Xenopus tropicalis: one gene and its partners. The protein of the gene in region 2 purifies or fractionates together with the protein of the main gene of each other region. This does not show direct contact. Links are inferred from orthologs where the notes say so. Each region holds a gene or a part of one and is shown on either strand. Other genes may lie near its edges. The genes, in order: anapc2, cdc27 and ube2s.

The links.
Region 1: the proteins of cdc27 (region 2) and anapc2 purify together in Homo sapiens (affinity purification with western blotting; 20 studies listed by BioGRID and IntAct, with this or other methods). This does not show direct contact. The link is inferred for Xenopus tropicalis from reciprocal best matches to the Homo sapiens genes CDC27 and ANAPC2.
Region 3: the proteins of cdc27 (region 2) and ube2s purify together in Homo sapiens (affinity purification with western blotting; 4 studies listed by BioGRID, with this or other methods). This does not show direct contact. The link is inferred for Xenopus tropicalis from reciprocal best matches to the Homo sapiens genes CDC27 and UBE2S.

What each region holds. Positions count from the first base shown.
Region 1 is NC_030684.2:1,696,375-1,700,023, reverse strand, and holds the end of anapc2 (anaphase-promoting complex subunit 2), read left to right. Parts: intron 1-1,126; coding exon 1,127-1,330; intron 1,331-1,817; coding exon 1,818-1,947; intron 1,948-2,066; coding exon 2,067-2,302; intron 2,303-3,126; coding exon 3,127-3,339; 3' UTR 3,340-3,629; downstream 3,630-3,649. UniProt on the Homo sapiens protein: Together with the RING-H2 protein ANAPC11, constitutes the catalytic component of the anaphase promoting complex/cyclosome (APC/C), a cell cycle-regulated E3 ubiquitin ligase that controls progression through mitosis and the G1 phase of the cell cycle.
Region 2 is NC_030686.2:17,329,353-17,333,001, reverse strand, and holds part of cdc27 (cell division cycle protein 27 homolog), read left to right. Parts: intron 1-2,201; coding exon 2,202-2,299; intron 2,300-2,495; coding exon 2,496-2,653; intron 2,654-3,649. UniProt on the Homo sapiens protein: Component of the anaphase promoting complex/cyclosome (APC/C), a cell cycle-regulated E3 ubiquitin ligase that controls progression through mitosis and the G1 phase of the cell cycle.
Region 3 is NC_030683.2:106,141,943-106,146,139, forward strand, and holds the start of ube2s (ubiquitin-conjugating enzyme E2 S), read right to left. Parts: upstream 2,805-4,197; 5' UTR 2,747-2,804; coding exon 2,744-2,746; intron 2,018-2,743; coding exon 1,870-2,017; intron 28-1,869; coding exon 1-27. UniProt on the Homo sapiens protein: Accepts ubiquitin from the E1 complex and catalyzes its covalent attachment to other proteins. Catalyzes 'Lys-11'-linked polyubiquitination.

The DNA of each region.
Region 1 (3,649 bases), on a different chromosome or scaffold from region 2:
TTACATCACCCCCCTAAGAGACTTTTGGTTGGCTCTTTCTCTCCCCCTCCCTTTTTCTCTCTCTCCCCCTACCTCTCTCTCCCTCTCTCTCTCCTCCCACTTTCATCCCCTCCCTCCCTTTTCTCCCTCTTTCTCTCCTCCCTCTCTCTCTCTCTCTCTCTCCCCCTCCCTCCCTTTTTCTCCCTCTTTCTCTCCTCCCTCTCTCTCTCTCTCTCTCTCTCTCTCTCTCTCCCCCTCCCTCCCTTTTTCTCCCTCTTTCTCTCCTCCCTCTCTCTCTCTCTCCCCCTCCCTCCCTTTTTTCTCCCCCTTTCTCTCCTCCCTCTCTCCTCTCTCCTCCCTCTCTCCTCTCTCCTCCCTCTCTCCTCTCTCCCCCCTCCCTCTCTCCCCCCTCCCTCTCTCCCCCCTCCTTCTTTCTCTCCTCCCTCTCTCCTCTCTCCCCCCTCCTTCTTTCTCTCCTCCCTCTCTCCCCCCTCCTTCTTTTCTCCTCCCTCTTTCCTCTCTCCCCCCTCCCTCTCTTTCTCCCTCCCTCTCTCTTTCACCTCTCTCAACTCTTTCTCCCCCTCCTTCCCTCCCTCCCTCTCTCCCCCCTCTCTCCTCTCTCCCCCCCTCCTTCTTTCTCTCCTCCCTCTCTCCCCCCTCCTTCTTTCTCTCCTCCCTCTCTCCCCCCTCCTTCTTTTTCTCCTCCCTCTTTCCTCTCTCCCCCCTCCCTCTCTTTCTCCCTCCCCTCTCTCTTTCACCTCTCTCAACTCTTTCTCCCCCTCCTTCCCTCCCTCCCTCTCTCCCCCCTCCTTCTTTCTCTCCCCCCTCTCTCCCCCCTCCCTCTCTTTCTCCCTCCCCTCTCTCTTTCACCTCTCTCAACTCTCTCTCCCCCTCCCTCCCTCTTTCTCTCTCTCTCTCCCTCCCAACTCTCTCTCCCACTCCTTCTTTCTCTCCTCCCTCTCTCCCCCTCCTTCTTTCCCCCTGCCCCCCCTCTCTCACTCTCCCTCCATCTCTCTCCTTGCCTCTCTTTTTCCCTCTCTCGCCTCCCTTCTCTCTCCCTCCCCTCCTCCCTTCTCCCCTCTCTCTCGTGCTCCCTCTCTCTGTCTCTAAAGACTAAATAATGGCACCATGTTATCATGCCCCCAAGGACATGGCAGATTCCCGCAGGATTAACTCTAACATACGAGACGAGGAAGAGAAGTTGCCAGAGGAAGAGCGGCCGCCATTTAATGTCGTTGCTGTGATCCTGTCCAGTGAATTTTGGCCGGCGCTGAAGGAGGAGAAATTGGAGCTTCCTGATGAGATCAAAGAAGTGATGGACATGTACACCAAGAAGTACGAGAAACTCAAGGTGAGCGTTAAAGGGGTAGTTCCCCTTTAATTTAACTTTTAGCATAATGCAGAGAGTGCTATTCTGACGCAATTTGCAATTGGTCTTCATTTTTTTTATTTGCTGTAGTTTTTGAAGTATTTAGCTTTTTTCTCTCAGCAGCTTGGAATTTCAGCAGGTATCTGGTTGCTAGGGTCCTATTTAACCTAGCAACCAGGCAATGGTTTGACAGAGAGAGAGGAATATGAATTGAGGAGGGGCTAAATAGAAAAATAAGTCATACAGATTTATAATAACAGTGAAATCGTAGCCTCACAAAGGAATAATTGTCAGCTGCCGGGGTCAGGGACCCCATTTATGATATGGAAAATGTCATTGGACAGAGGGGCAGCGAATAAGAACTGGCTGTACATTATACACACTTCTGATTGGCCCAGTACTTTAGTATAAGGTATGTAATGAAAGTCACATCCGTGCCCTCCAGTGATGCCCGTGTCTCTCTCCATAGGCAATGCGCACGCTGAACTGGAAGCACCACCTCGGGTTAGTGGTTCTGGATGTGGAACTGGCCGACCGGACCCTGTCGTTCCCTGTGTCTCCTGTACACGCAGCCATCATCTTACATTTCCAGAACAAAAGTACGTGCCCCGCAGTGTCCTGTAATGTTGCTATGGAAACGCCAGGGAGGCTGCTGGGAGTTGTAGTTCCGTAATGTTCCAAGATATTGTCTGTGCTGATCTGTTCATTCCCCCCACAGGCACGTGGACTCTGGAGGAACTGAGTGAAGTCCTGAAGGTGCCCGTGGCTTCTCTTAGAAAGAAAATGGCCTTCTGGCTTCAGCACGGGGTCCTCCGCGAGGATCCCCCCGGCACATTCACGGTGATCGAGGAAGAGCAGAAAGATCGGCCCGAGAAGGTGGTGTTAATAGACAGCGACGAGGAGGGGGATTCCGCCATGGCCTCCCAGGCCGACCAGAAGGAAGAGGAGATGCAGGTATGTATGGGGGGGCAGGGGAGGAGCTACTGGGGTCGTTCACCTAAGTATGTTGTAGAGAGTCAGATTCCGAGACAATTTGCAATTGGTCTTCATTTTGTATTATTTGCGGTTTCTGAATTATTTGGCTTTTCCTTCAGCAGTTCTCCAGCTTGGAATGTCGGCGGCTATGTGGTTGCTAGGGTCTGATTTAACCTAGCAACCAGGCAGTGGTTTGAAAGAGAGACAGGAATATAAATAGAGGAGGGGCCTAAATAGGAAGATAAGGAATAAAAAGTAACAATAACAATAAAACTGAAGCCTCACAGAGCAATAGGGTTTGGCTGCCGGGGTCAGTTATCCTGTTGCTAGGGCTCAAATTACCTTAGCAACCACGGAGTGGTTTGATTGAGAGACTGATATATGAATAGGGGAGGGGCTGAATAGAAAGATAAGGAATAAAAAGTAAGAATAACAATAAAACTGGAGCCTCACAGAGCAATAGGTTTTTGGTTGCTACGGTCCAAGTTACCTTAGCAACCAGGGAGTGGTTTGGATGAGAGATATGAATATGAATAAGGAGAGGGGCTGAATAGAAAGATAAGGAATAAAAAGTAACAATAACAATAAAACTGGAGCCTCACAGAGCAATAGGGTTTGGCTGCCGGGGTCACTGACCCCCATTTGAAAGCTGCAAAGAACATAAATAATTCAGAAACTAAAACAAACAATGAAGACCAACTGCAAAGTTGCTAGGAATAGGGCATTCTAAACCATACTGAAGGTGTACTGGGCCTGGGAGGGGCGGAGCCGACACTGATGCCCTTTGCCCTTGGGTTCTGTAGCTGTTCTGGACCTACATACAGGCCATGCTGACCAACCTGGAGAGCCTGCCCCTGGAGCGCATACACACCATGCTCAAGATGTTTGTCATGACCGGCCCCGTCGTCACCGAGATCGACATTCAGGAGCTGCAGAGCTTCCTCCAGAAGAAAGTCAGCGACCACCAGCTGGTCTACTCTGGGGGGGTCTATCGGCTGCCCAAGAACTCCAGCTGAGACCCCACTACTGCCCCCTATAGTGTAATGGACACAATGAACTTTACTCTGTGTTGTTTGAAGGCTTTTTTTTCTATTTGTTGCCCCTGTACGTCTCCCACATATCCAGCCCCCCTGGCTTCCCAACCCCCCCAGCCCAGTAAATAGAGACTCCTGTAACGGCTGGGTGACGTGGGTGCTGACCCAGGGGAATGAGGGTGCTGCCTGACCCAACCCAGGGTCTCCCCGTGCCGACTCTCCAAGGCTTCTCTGCCTCTGTAATGTACAAATAAACGCTCTCTGTCTGATAAGCTGCCTCTCCCCATTGCCT
Region 2 (3,649 bases):
GACAAAATTGTAGACCTGCACAAGGCTGGAATGGGCTACAAAACCATTAGCAAGAAGCTGGGAGAGAAGGTGACAACTGTTGGTGCGATTGTTCGAAAATGGAAGGAGCACAAAATGACCATCAATCGACCTCGCTCTGGGGCTCCACGCAAGATCTCACCTCGTGGGGTGTCAATGATTCTGAGAAAGGTGAAAAAGCATCCTAGAACTACACGGGAAGAGTTAGTTAATGACCTCAAATTAGCAGGGACCACAGTCACCAAGAAAACCATTGGAAACACATTACACCGCAATGGATTAAAATCCTGCAGGGCTCGCAAGGTCCCCCTGCTCAAGAAGGCACATGTGCAGGCCCGTCTGAAGTTTGCCAATGAACACCTGAATGATTCTGTGAGTGACTGGGAGAAGGTGCTGTGGTCTGATGAGACCAAAATAGAGCTCTTTGGCATTAACTCAACTCGCTGTGTTTGGAGGAAGAAAAATGCTGCCTATCACCCCCAAAACACCGTCCCCACCGTCAAGCATGGGGGTGGAAACATTTTGCTTTGGGGTAGTTTTTCTGCTAAGGGCACAGGACAACTTATTCGCATTAACGGGAAAATGGACGGAGCCATGTATCGTGAAATCCTGAACGACAACCTCCTTCCCTCTGCAGGAAACTGAAAATGGGTCGTGGATGGGTGTTCCAGCACGACAATGACCCAAAACATACAGCAAAGGCATCAAAGGAGTGGCTCAAGAAGAAGCACATTAAGGTCATGGAGTGGCCTAGTCAGTCTCCGGACCTTAATCCAATAGAAAACCTATGGAGGGAGCTCAAGCTCAGAGTTGCACAGATACAGCATCGAAACCTTAGGGATTTAGAGATGATCTGCAAAGAGGAGTGGACCAACATTCCTCCTAAAATGTGCGCAAACTTGGTCATCAATTACAAGAAACGTTTGACCTCTGTGCTTGCAAACAAGGGTTTTTCCACTAAGTATTAAGTCTTTTTTTGTTAGAGGGTTCAAAAACTTATTTCACTCAATGAAATGCAAATCAGTTGCTATCTTTTATTTAAAGTTATTTTTTCGATTTTCCTTTTGATGTGCTATCTGCCACTGTTAAAATAAACCTACCATTGAAATGATACTGTTCTGAGACTTTTCATTTCTTTGTCATTGGACAAACTTACAAAATCAGTGAGGGGTCAAATAATTATTTCCTCCACTGTAATTCAGATTTAAAATTGATTTCCTTTTTCTCTGTAAAAATTAAACAGTGCTTTGTATTTGATCCCAACTAAAATATAATGAATCCGTATTGGATGCAAAATAATCCTATTGGGTTTAATTTATGTTTAAATGATTTTTTAGTAGACTTAAGGTATGAAGATCCAAATTACGGAAAGACTCCTTATCCGGAATACCCTTGGTCCTGAGCATTCTGGATAATGTGTCCTATACCTGTATTACTGTATATGGAGTGTATCCTAGTCATTTATTGTTATTGAAAATTATTAATCAGCAAGGTAACACCCAGTTACATGTCAATTTTTTTATGCAAGGTTCCCTTTATTTCTCTTAAAGGGTTAGTTTACCGTTTAGAATGTTATAGAATGTCCCATTCTTAGAAACTTTTCAATTGGTCTTCATTACTTAAAAGTATTTGATTTCTTTGCTTGCCTGTCAGGCTGTAAATGTATTATAGTTACACTTCTCTGTCAATTTAGGCCATCTCCGATTCATCTTACTGTCATTCAAACCATTGCCTAGTTTCTAGGATATTGGACCTTAGCAACCAGTTTACTGAAATTCCACGCTTGAGAGCTACTGAACAAAACCTAAATAATTAAAAAACAAAAAAGCATCACTATTTACATAATACTAAATGTTAGTTTAAAGGTAGACTACTCCTTTAGTCTTTTGAATCCTGCAGTATATGGCCATAGTCATAGTCCCAGCGCTCTGCTACAGTGAACAGTACATGACTTTTTGTTTGCATCAGGGAGTTTCCATAGGCATGGAACATGAAGGGCAAATAAGTAGGCAAATATCTCTGCTAAACAAACAGCATTTCTAAAGGTTTATTTTTCCTTTCTCTGTCTTTCAAAATATGCACTCCTGGATTGATTTTTCTCACACAGAGCACGCCTCTTTCTTGATGGACTTCATGATGGACTGATAAAATAATTCTGTTCTTTTCCCTCCGTCCCTTTTCAGCAAAACAGATCGATTGGCTAAAGGAGCAGAATGTTACCAAAAGAGCCTTAGTTTAAATCCTTTCCTGTGGTCCCCATTTGAGTCTCTGTGTGAAATAGGTATGTTTGAATGGACTTGCACATCTTCATGAAACATCTTTTATGTGTCCGTTGTATTCAATTCATATTTTTTTTTCTCCATGCACTGATGTGTCAAATCTCATTCAAGGGCTCTGTATTTATGTGTCTTCTAATTTTGCTTTGACCAGTTCATATTTTGTACCCACGCTTAGTAAATATATGATTGCATTTTAAGGTGAAAAGCCAGACCCTGAGCAGACATTCAAACTGACCTCACTCCAGAACTTCAGTAACTGCCTGCCCAACACTTGCACAATGACCGTGAACACACACAGTGTTGTACAACATAGGCAACCTGATACAGTGTTAATGGAGACTCCTCAAGACACTATCGTAAGTCTGGATTTTTGGCTGTGGTATTTGAGATTAAAGTTCTGCCTTTGATCTCAAATAATCATCGGTCTTTTGATTGTTTTGTGTTAAATTATGTTTATGCCATAAAGAAGCAGTAACACAAATGCACAAATAAAAAAGCCCCCCAGGCTTACTAAATAGGGACTGTTTTTGGCAACTTACAGCAGCACCTCTGACATTTGCCAGAATCCACGGATTGCCTGACTGAAGTAGATTAAAGGCTGGGACACACAAAACAGGTCCTTCGCTTTCATCTGCCTCCATTTTATATGCAGGCTGGGAAAAGCGAATCTGCTGTTTTCCGCTCCCTGTCTTGCACATTGTCAGCCTGTGTGGAGCTACACTAAGCACATGTTAACGTGGAAATGTGAAAGTTTGTACACTTTCACATTTGTACACATTTTACACAAGTGTAAACTTAATAAAAGGTATTGACCCGAAACATGTTATGCAACCACTTCCCTGAATAAATGGTTTGTAGTTTAACTGCTGGCGTTCTTGTTTCTACCCTTTTGGATTCTGCTGTTTACAAAAACATTATCATCTTTATATGAGATTTCAGCTGATGGGGTAGAAATATGGACACTGAAGTCAGTCAGACAAACCTTGAATCCTGAGTTTCAGCTCTAATGGGTGATCGATCTCTCAAAACGGCTATTCAAGCTTCCCACTCACAATGATGGTCTGGTACCTGTGGCACAAAAATATTTTTATTAAAAAAAAAAAACTAAACTTTTGTATGGCCTAGGTATAGCCTTCTTAAAGTGTTGTGTTTTTTTGTTTTGCAAGTAAAGAGTTAAGCCTTTTTTTATGGTGTTTTGTTTATACGGGCACAAAACCTTTCCCTGATCTTACACAGTGAGTGTATCCACCCTGAAATGGCTATTCACCTAAAGCCATTATGTTGAAGAGATAACAGGCAAATTGTAGTGGTTAATACAGTGACCCCTAATGACACTGATATAGAAAGGGATG
Region 3 (4,197 bases), on a different chromosome or scaffold from region 2:
AGATACCTCCTGCATATGGAGTGCCTTCTGTAAAATATTTAGAATGTATTTGAATAGTGGAGATTAATACATACACATTACAGAACAGATAGATAAGTCATTAAAAAATGTTGTCGCTAAAATTTACAAGTAGACACCCCTTTCCAACATTAATGTAATAATTAGGGCCTATGCTGAACATACTTTTTGCCTATTTAAATATCTATGGCTTTCATTTTATGCAGTTAACAGGGCAAAATCTGAAACTACCATATATAAGCAAGTATAAGCCGAGGTACTTAATTTTACCTAAGAAAACTGGAAAACCTATTGACTTGAGTATAAGCCTAGGGTGAGAAATGTAGCAGCTACTGCTAAGTTTCAATAATCAGTTAATAAAAGGACAACTCTGCGTGACCCCCTGTGAATTCTACATAAATATATAATGTTGGCAGCTGCAGATTGTCGAGTAATATATCTCCAGAACACTTATGTATTAACAATTAAAGCAAACTGTCATGATATAGTGATAATGGGGCATCTGTCCTTCCATAGGGCTTAGTGAAAACCTGGTGGGAATTATTTTCTACCATAGGTGAAAAAGTGCAGAATGCCAACACAGGTACTAGCTAGGCCCTAGCTTAGACGGAGGAGGAGACTGACTAACTCATTTATTTATGGCAGGGGTCCTCAAACTATGGCCTGCAGGGGGGCCATAGCTTGAGGACCCCTGTTCGAGCCTGTCAGGTTGGCAGGGGCAGCAGGGGGTCACACAAAGGGGGTCTGGAGGGACCCATGGCACCTGACACATTTTGGGTGCTGAAAAACTTGGCTTATACTCGAGTATATACGGAAAATGTAAAGTCAAATTTCTTCCTGTTTATACAAGTGCAACCAAAAGAAGCCCACACACCATTAAGCTCTGAAAAATGGGGTATACTGCCCCCTTTTGAGGCCTATGGAACATGACTTTTTGATTGATAGCTGAAGTAGAAATTGTACCTGGAAGAGACCAGACTCCTGTTTTAGGGGTTAGTCCCAGAAGAAAAACTGTAATGAATGTATACTGGAAAGTTGCTTAGTGCAATATTTTCTCTCACTATGCAAATATAGGTTTTTGTATACACCCATTTTACTAAGGCTTAAAACTACAGGTCACCTGAGAACTACAAGAGTTTCAATAAGGAGCTACTCATTGTTAGAAGACAACTCTCCTGCTTTGCAAATGAATCCAACATAAGATGGGTTGGGGGCCCTCAGTCAGCCCTAGAATTCTTACACCACCACCTAGAGGTGGCAGAAACCTTATGGAGCATAAGGAAGCGCCCCAGCTAACTTGTTATGTGTATAACGTATTATCGGGGGGCACTTGCTCATTAGGTCTATACCCCAACAGGGAGTTCTAGGTGTGCAACAGGGTTTTTTCTTTTGAAATATACTATTGTTTCCACCATACAGAGTGCAGGCTCTTAACATGCACCACTGGGATAGAGGGAACAATTTGTAGGCAATAGGTACCCTGTAAGAGATCTTTTACCAGAGGCCTGTGAAAAATATTTACCTTGTGAGGGGAATTTTAGAAACACCTCCAGTGATTATATAAACTTACCTGATAGCCTGGGCCAGAGATCCTGTTAGCAGAAAACTGCACAGACCTGAGGTACTTCTGTAAGTGACCAGTGTGAATGTGCAGTAAAGTTAAAAGCTGACTTTGTAAACTGCACTACACATGTGCTGGCCCGGGGCAAGAAGGAAGAATCGGAGGGTTGCGACAAAGTTTTCATACAGAAGAACCCAGGGTCGGTGCAGTTTTGAGACAAAAAATTGAAGATCTTTGGCAGTAACACTACTGAACCATACATTCCTAATTACAACTCAGCTATACCTCACCTGGTCCTTCAATGTTAACTTGGACATCAGTTATATCTTCTTCATTTGGAATGATCTTTATTCCTTCTGGAGGGTCAGATGTCAGAGTGGAGACTTCTTTATAGACCTGACGAATGATGTGTGGGGGCAAGTTTTCAACGTTTGAATTCTGTAAGAAAAAAAAGATAACTAATCATTACTAAACAATAACCATATCTAGTTGCTTTATAGTAATTAGTACCAACTGACTAGGAAATCCGGTATCAAAGCAGCATCACAGGCTGATACCTCTCATTCATAACTCCCAAAACCCAGCATTATGCTCATCATAAAGAACTGCTGGAGATCTAGAGTAGGGTATGATAACCAAATAAGACCAGTAGCGATATCACGGGCCAGACAAGGCAACAACAAAATCAGATGCAATAGTAAATGTATTATCAGATTGAAAATATACAGATATTACCATTTCCCTAAGCCAGTCAGGCCAACCTACAGGCCCAATTATACAAAACATTTCCCTGGTACCAGTATGACAGCTCCCTGACAGCTCAGATGCACATACAGAGTCCCCAAACTCATGGGGTACAAAGCCAGCGATGGAAACGGATGGGAGAAGTCAGAAAGGGTTTCGGGGAAGATTAGGAAATGTATTTCCTTCCCAGTCAGCCCTCAGAGGGGTAGAAGCTGAATGTACAGCACATGATGCTGCCAATCTAGGTATATACATTAGCAATGCTGCCAATCTAGGTATATACATTAGCAATGCTGCCAATCTAGGTATATACATTAGCAATGCTGCCAATCTAGGTATATACATTAGCAATGCTGCCCTGACACAGTGGAACTGCGCCTCCCCCGATCCCCATAAGAGCAGGAAAGCCCCGATACTTACCATGCCTCTCTGTGCCAAACGGGGGACGGAGGAGAACTGTTCAGCGCCGTGACGGTGTTTGATTCTCTGAGGCTGGGTACGAACAGTCCAGGCCTAACTGTAATTCTACCCAATTAAAAACAAAAAAAAAGGATATGACGTTGGTGAATAACACGGTCTGGGCCTAGTCCTGCATACAAGCGTCAACACTTATAGTTTCTTCTATTTTTTACTTTATTTTTTTTTATATTTCCTTCTTTGGTTCCCACCCCAGTTCCCAGACCCAAGCCACCTATCCTTCCTTTCACTCCCCCGGCACTAAGCCTCTCTTGCTTACCGACGCCCCTTCATATAACCTTCGGCTGCTTGTAGGCACGCCTCACTCCCACTCCGCTAGCTCCTCCAATCGCAAACGTGGCGCGTCACGTGTTTACACCAATAAACTGCTAGGAAATGGAACCCGCCCCCATTGAAAGTGTTTGACATTTGCGCTAACCAGTAACGTAGCAGAATCATTAAGTGACAGCCGTAAGAGGGAGGTTGTTAGGCTGTTACCGATTGGACAGTTTGAATATAACTAAGTGACGTAGCTGGATTGGGTGCAGTTATGTAAAGCGTACGTTAGTTTTTGTTCCTGGGGAAGTGAGAGCGCTGGGCCATAGGGTTTCCGGTGGTTGCTAGGGGGAATGGTTATAGGACGGCCGAGGTGTACAAGGCTGGTTGTTGCTGTTCTTACCGCCGAATGCTATTTTTAATAGTAATAGCAAAATAAAACTGCTAATAAAAACAGCTGTGTGTCTGCAAATGAAGCAAGTGAATATTTGTTATTGATATAGAGGCCGACAGATCTACATTTCAATTGTTCTGCGCATGAGTCTCAATGAAAGTGATTGGCATGTATTTAGCTGACAGGCTGCTGGACTAGGGCAGGGGTGTCTGTGTTGTAAGGGAGGCCTGCAATAACTGGCCAGAAAAGAAATAAGGATGGAATTTAATATAATTGCTTATAGTTTCTAGCGGATATCACCTTGTCTGAACAGTCTTGCATGTGTCTTGGCCACACTCCCACAGAAGGCAAATTCTGGACAATCAGTAGCCTGCAATGCTGCAAAGAGTATTTGTGTACAAGCCACAGCAAGCAGGATACTTGCCCCCTCATTGCTGTACAAGCCACAGCAAGTAGGATACGGACCCCCTTCATTGCTGTACAAGCCACAGCAAGTAGGATACTGACCCCCTTCATTGCTGTACAAGCCACAGCAAGTAGGATACTGACCCCCTTCATTGCTGTACAAGCCACAGCAAGTAGGATACTGGCCCCCTCATTGCTGTACAAGCCACAGCAAGCAGGATACTGGCCCCCTTCATTGCTGTACAAGCCACAGCAAGTAGGATACTGGCCCCATCATTGCTGTACAAGCCACAGCAAGTAGGATACTGGCCCCCTTCATTGCTGTACAAGCCACAGCAAGTAG